Linked DNA regions of Arabidopsis thaliana. The protein of the gene in region 1 interacts with the protein of each later gene in a pairwise test. Each region holds a gene or a part of one and is shown in the gene's direction. Other genes may lie near its edges.

The links. The genes of interacting proteins can lie anywhere in the genome.
Region 2: the proteins of NAC024 (region 1) and AT5G08630 interact in a two-hybrid assay, tested with the Arabidopsis thaliana proteins (one large-scale study listed by BioGRID).

What each region holds. Positions count from the first base shown.
Region 1 is NC_003070.9:22,240,708-22,244,326, reverse strand, and holds NAC024 (NAC domain containing protein 24), read left to right. Parts: upstream 1-2,091; coding exon 2,092-3,054; downstream 3,055-3,619. Other genes in the region: AT1G60360 (RING/U-box superfamily protein), read left to right, coding at 596-1,579.
Region 2 is NC_003076.8:2,801,009-2,804,764, reverse strand, and holds the start of AT5G08630 (DDT domain-containing protein), read left to right. Parts: upstream 1-1,593; 5' UTR 1,594-1,778; exon of another isoform or gene 1,779-2,087; intron 2,088-2,605; 5' UTR 2,606-2,626; coding exon 2,627-2,739; intron 2,740-2,968; coding exon 2,969-3,141; intron 3,142-3,376; coding exon 3,377-3,756. Other genes in the region: FLS1 (flavonol synthase 1), read right to left, coding at 1-218, 290-756.

The sequences.
Region 1 (3,619 bases):
CAGAGAGATATGGTCTTCATTTCAACTCGTGTTCCAATTTTTATCTATGCTTTGTGATATTGATATGCCTTTGCTCTTGGACAATATTTTCTCTCATTAGTCTCCCAACTATGTATGTATTAATCAATGGAGACTATGGCAGTAAAATATAGGGTCTTCATATCAACACGTTTTCCAATTTCTAAATGCTCAATTGAGTGCATAAAGATGGAATTAAAAATCAATTACTAATTCTTCTAATTTGAAACTACTAATTCTAAAAGAAAACTATTTATGTTAATTCTAAAACTGAAAATGATCCTTCATAACCACCATAATAATTCAGTATGCCCAATATTCGTTAACGGTCCAGGCCTTAGAAAAATAAATGGATTCGAGAAATGATTCTAGCCTTTAGCTAGAGGTAATCTTAAAAGCATAGAAAACTAGAAAAAATGAGCATTGCTTCTTCATCCATCTCAAGCTTTGCCTCAAAGAAACCAAGACCTATATTTGAAAAGAATCTGCCCTTTTCAATTGCCTCATGCAACCCTCAACGTTATCTATAAATGTTGTAAATGTTTATATGTCTTGTGTATAACAATTCCTTCCAACAATGTCATTGAGTCAGCCAATAACACGGACCGATAGTGCACCCAATGGAGCATTTAGGACTTTTGGTCTCTACTGGTGCTACCATTGTGATCGTATGGTCAGAATTGCATCCTCTAACCCATCAGAGATCGCCTGTCCTCGATGTTTGAGGCAATTTGTCGTTGAGATTGAAACGAGACAACGGCCTCGGTTTACTTTCAACCATGCTACTCCGCCTTTTGATGCTTCTCCTGAGGCTCGTCTTCTCGAAGCTCTCTCGCTCATGTTTGAGCCTGCAACCATAGGTAGGTTTGGTGCAGACCCATTTCTTAGGGCAAGATCCAGAAACATCTTGGAACCTGAATCAAGACCCCGACCGCAACATCGAAGACGACACAGCCTTGACAATGTTAACAATGGTGGTTTACCTCTACCAAGAAGAACATATGTTATTCTCCGGCCCAATAATCCGACTAGTCCACTCGGAAACATAATTGCGCCACCAAATCAAGCACCACCACGGCATGTGAACTCACATGATTACTTTACTGGAGCATCAAGCTTAGAGCAGCTGATTGAACAACTAACACAAGACGATAGGCCTGGACCACCACCTGCGTCAGAACCCACCATTAATTCCCTACCATCTGTGAAAATAACACCACAACATCTAACTAACGACATGTCCCAATGCACAGTGTGCATGGAAGAATTCATTGTTGGTGGGGACGCAACGGAATTACCATGTAAACATATTTACCATAAAGATTGTATAGTCCCGTGGCTTAGGCTTAACAATTCTTGCCCTATCTGCCGCCGTGACCTGCCACTTGTCAACACCGTTGCTGAATCTCGAGAAAGGAGCAATCCTATTAGACAAGACATGCCTGAAAGAAGGCGTCCAAGGTGGATGCAACTCGGTAACATTTGGCCATTTAGAGCAAGATACCAAAGGGTTAGTCCAGAAGAAACAGCAAACCAGAATCCTCGAGATAACAGGAGCTAACTCTGAATATTCCATGGGAAATAAAAATCGTGACTATCTATATGTATAGACTCTATGAGACATTGTCTATTTGAATGTGCATGTATATCTCAGAAATAAACTCAAGCGAAACATATTTAACGACTAGAGAAAGCCCTACCAAGCCCATAGCGATAAGAAGGACTTGCATGCTATAACAAAAATAATTAGTGGAAAAAGACTGTAACCTTGAGTAAACTAAACTTCTCTCTCAAATCTTACTGCAGTTCTGTCTTAGTGGTCTTACTGTAACATCCTTTAGTTTCTTGAACCCATCCATTAAAGAGGGAAATAAAGTTGCGAAATAAAGAGAGATCATCAAGAGTCAATTGGTCACCACGAAAATTATAAATAACGGTCGCTACTAACTTAAAAGCACATTTATTCTCTACTCTCTTCCTATTCGCTTCGTCTCCAAGAAACAAACACTCATTCTTGCGTTTGATCTTTCTTTCTCTAGATCCCATATTTTTCTTGATCAATTTAGTTTCATTATGGAGGAAGATGCAGCTTTTGATCTACTCAAAGCCGAACTCTTAAACGCAGAAGACGATGCAATAATCTCACGTTATCTGAAGCGTATGGTCGTCAACGGAGACTCATGGCCTGATCACTTCATCGAAGACGCAGACGTGTTCAACAAGAATCCAAATGTGGAGTTCGATGCTGAGAGCCCTAGCTTCGTGATAGTTAAACCTCGAACAGAGGCTTGTGGTAAAACCGATGGATGTGAAACTGGTTGCTGGAGGATCATGGGTCGTGATAAACCGATAAAATCGACGGAGACTGTGAAGATTCAAGGGTTCAAGAAGATTCTCAAGTTCTGCCTAAAGAGGAAACCTAGAGGATACAAGAGAAGTTGGGTAATGGAAGAGTATAGGCTTACCAATAACTTGAACTGGAAGCAAGATCATGTGATTTGCAAGATTCGGTTTATGTTTGAAGCTGAAATCAGTTTCTTGCTAGCCAAGCATTTCTACACTACATCAGAATCACTTCCTCGAAATGAGCTGTTGCCAGCTTACGGATTCCTTTCATCAGATAAGCAATTGGAGGATGTATCTTATCCGGTGACGATAATGACTTCTGAAGGAAACGATTGGCCTAGCTACGTTACCAACAATGTGTATTGTCTGCATCCATTGGAGCTCGTTGATCTTCAAGATCGGATGTTTAATGATTACGGAACCTGCATCTTCGCTAACAAGACTTGTGGTAAAACCGATAGATGCATTAATGGTGGTTACTGGAAAATTTTGCACCGTGATAGGCTGATCAAGTCAAAGTCCGGGATAGTTATTGGTTTCAAGAAGGTGTTTAAGTTTCATGAAACGGAGAAAGAAAGATACTTCTGTGGTGGAGAAGATGTGAAGGTAACTTGGACTCTAGAAGAGTATAGGCTTAGCGTGAAGCAGAATAAATTCTTGTGCGTTATCAAGTTTACTTATGATAACTAAGAATCTTTTCTTTGGATTTTATGATCATCTTAGTATCTTGAGGACATTCTCTTTAAAACATATATCGATAGTCTTTGTGTTTATATTTCTCTGTTCAATATGATTTAGAGACTAGTGTGCTTTTTTCTCTCTTTCATGTGGTTTGTGATTGTGAGAGGAGAGGCTTTTTTGTCGCTGCAATATTTTAAACCCAAAATAACACTAATCGCATGTAAACAATCGATATTAGCAGCAATCACAAACATCAGAGACAAATTGAGCCTTATGTAACCAAACATGTACATATGATTCGACAACAACCTACATGTTTCTGAATCAGCAACCCGAACAATCTATAAATTAAATGAAGATCAATTAAATTGACATGTTTTTTTATCTGCTAAGCAGAGATTGTTGTTGTGTTGATTTCTCGTGTATATGCACATGTAGCCTTTTTGGTTGCCAGAGACTTAAGAGAGAAAGAATATTTTCCTCTGTTTTAAGAAATATTCAAAGAATGCCATGGACTAGGATATAAAATGCCATGGTCTAATATGATCCGTTTTAACATTATATTTATACATAT
Region 2 (3,756 bases), on another chromosome or scaffold:
GAGTGATTCCACTGAGATCTGTATGAGCCGGTACACCTAAAGCTAAATCCGGCCGAGGACACGGCGGATAATAGTTAATCTTCATCATATACTCCGCCATCTCTCCGCCGAGACCTTCTTTCAACGCATCACGCTTTAACCCTAATCCATCCGAGAGAATCCCTAATAACGTCTCCGATAGCTTCTTCACATGCACTGCATACTCTTCATTCACCTCCCTAATACATTAAACCAACGGTTAACTTCGGTTTACAAAATTTGAATTTTTGATGATTCTGTTTTGGTTTACCTGTATTCAGGTGGATTCTTAGGCCAGAATCTGTAATTGACGCATGACGGTGGCCAGATTCGATGGAAGAGATGATCGACCCAAGCTTTTTTACCTTCTGGATCTTTCTGAAGCTTTGTTCCGTATCCTTCAATGTCTTTCGAATCTTCCGGTTTAGCGACGGATTCTTTCTCCGACGAAGGAAGCTCGAAGAATTTTCTTCCGACGTCTTGTAAACGTCGTATCAGCTCCGTCGGAATCCCGTGGTTAACCACTTGGAATAGCCCCCATTCTTCACTCGCTTTCACCACCGCGCGCCTCACGCTTTCTTCGTCGGGATCGCTTAGATCGACGACGGGAATCGCCGGCGTTGGACCTCGGAATGTTGTGATCGCTGGTTGTTCTTTCTCTGATCTGATGAACTCCAACGGGATTGCTTCTGTTAGTAGAGAAGAAGATGAAATGTCTTGGACTCTTTCGACCTCCATTATTTTTTTTGGTAGTTTGCGTTGCCGGAAACAATGGCGGATATGTAATTTGGGGGATGGTGTTACGAGTGGTTTTAAGGAGGGAGGAAGTGAGGACGTGGCGAAATCTTGGCCGCTGGATAGAGACAACTACCACATAAAGTACGTGTTGATATGTGTAAGTCGTCGAGGCTTCGTCACTCACGAGTTTGGTACCAAGTTTTGATAGATTTATGGATGAAGAATTTAATTAATTTGATTTGTTGTTTTGTGGTGGTAGTTTTAAGAAAAGGAAAAAAGTGATGTTATTATATTTTAGGCCATAAAATACCATATTTGAAATAGATATTTTAGTACATATTTTTGGCGGGTGTTCATGTAAACACAAATAAATATCATCTTGAGTCGTTGACAAAAACAAAAACAAAAACAACAAACTTTGGTTGGCCATTCTAATTACTGTAAAGATTTTCTTCTGCATTTCGATTGGTCCATGAATTTTACACAGGAAACATTATTTAATGACTTGGTTTCTAGAGTGGGTTATTTGAAGTTTTCTTTTTTTGGTCAAACATCATTTGGAATTTAATCAAATAATAATGGTGGAGAGTTAAGGCTTTACCATTTTAAATCGTAAGCAATGAATAAAATACTGGTTTCAAATCCAACCCCATTTAAAGCTAAAGATTCAAGGCCCATATAACAAGACAAGGCCCAGTTATTGGGCTACTATAGAAAAAGGAAAAACTACAGTATAGGGCTCTAAAACAGCAACACCTGTATAAACAAAAAAAGGAAACCGAGTGCTACTTAAGATATAAAATAACAAAAAAAAGGTGAGAGGCTAATTCGCATATTAAGTTTTTTTTCCCGTCTTTCCCATAAGGAAGGACGACGACCAAAAAGAGCTGAGAGCGAGAGAGAGAGAGAGAGAGCGAAGAGAAAAACGAAGAGAGACGGTGAGATCTCAACACTTGTATTCTTTCCTTGAGAGACCACCTCTCTCTCTCGACGACGCGCATTCCCAATTTCATACATTCTCCGTAAGATTTTTGATTGAGTCTCTCTAATTTCGTTGTTTATAATTCTCTCCAATCGTTTTCTTTGTTGTGGCGGGAACATCGATCCTCTTTTCTTCTGCGATTTTGCTTTCTTCGTTGTGATTTCGTTGCATTAGCTTCGAATTTTCGTTCCGTTTTGTTTGTTATTGATGATTGTGTTCGTCTCTTCTTTGTTACATGTGTTGTTATGCTTTTTTGACTGCTTTTTGTGTGTTTTACTTGTCCGTTTCGCCTTCTGGATTCTCCGAAAGTGGCGCATGATAGTGCTTTCTTTTTCTCGATCTCTCTTGGGTATGTGTTTTGATTCCTCGGTTTCGTTTTGGTTCCTTTGCTCTCAAGTGTCAATTTTGTCCCATGGTTTCAGATCTTTTCTAATTTCGATTGGGATTGCGATTTTTCTAGGGTTTAGTGCTATCTCGGTTTCTTCTGCATTGCTTTTCTTAACATTTTTCATTGGCTTTTCTTTTTTGCACATGATCTCACAAGTACCACTTGCTTTTCCATAGGCTCTGTCGAATTCAGTAGAAATTAGAATCAGCTCTAGGCTTGCATGCAATCATTTGCATTCTGTGCCACAAATTTGTACGTTTGCTAAGTTTTACTTGACCGTTGTGTCACCTTAAACGCCTTATGGGTTGATTTTCTGTTCTCCATGGTTTACATTTTCCGCTTTGGAACAACTGTGACGTCTTGCTTTTGTATACAATTCCCTTCTTGCTTGGATGACCTGGTTCTACATTTACTAGGATTTCACATTAGTGAATATGAGAATCACTTATATAGACCATTCATTTTTGTCTACACTGCAGGTTGGTTTTGCCATTTGAAGGATGCCTCTACTAAAAAAGAAGTCACATAAACTACTGGAGCCCCCAAAGAACTTGGAGCCTCAAGAACTTGTCTATCAAGTTCGTCTAACAAATGAGATCTTTCGAGATTATCAGTATCCTTATTCTGTAACTGTTACAATTTTAAGACTTATGTTTTGAATATTTGCCTTCTCCTTCTGTGTGCAGTTAGAGGAAAGAGAAATAAGCTTAAAACTTGTAATTCTGTTTGCCTGTTTCATTCTGGGACAACCTTTATTCATATTATTCTTCAAAGGCTTGGTTGTTCATGTTTATCAGTGCACATGCCGTGTCAGAACTATTTGTTTGCTTAACATAAAATAGATTGTACTTGAAGAGGTTAAATCTGTATCGCAACCGAGTTTGGACTTGTAAGTCTACTGGTAAAACTAGCTTGAGCTACGAGGAGGCCTTAGATTCAGAAAAACTGGCAGGCAAGAAGGTTCAAACTCTGCCCAGAGAGCTAGTTGCACCTGCTTTACGCATCATCCAATTCAGTAAGTTTTTAACTCCTTCATTGATTATTTTTATGTGATATAAGTGTGTCGAAGTCTTGATTTGCAGAGTGTCCAAGTCTTGATTTTACCTTTCTCGGTTTCTCTCTATAAGTTTTGCAAATCAGGACTACCTTTTTACCGTTTTGAATTTGTTTGTGTAAGATAATTTTCTTAATACTTGAAATCTCTGGTTTATGAGCATTATTTCTGACTCTTTTTCCTCCATTTTGAAAAGGTACGCTTTCATTGAAAGATCTTGCTGACAAAATAGCGACAGAGTTGCAAGATTGCTTTTTCCCTGGCGCAGAGTTGTATGGGGAAAGGGATGGGGAACTGCATCCTTGCAAAATCTTGAGGATAGTATCAGATGGGGATAGTAAACCTCAGTATGAGGTAGGCTTCCTTGACAAAAACAAGGAAGTAGATGATAACACAGTGCTCTTTGGGGAGGATCTGTCATGGAAGAAGTTTCCATTTAGTAGAAATTTTCTGAAGTCCTTCATTCGAGATTCCACATGCCACAGTATACCTTGGGTAGTAAATGATTACCTGGCTAAAGCACATGAAATCACGAGAAAGATTCCCAAGGAACTTCAGAACAAATATGTCTTTCAG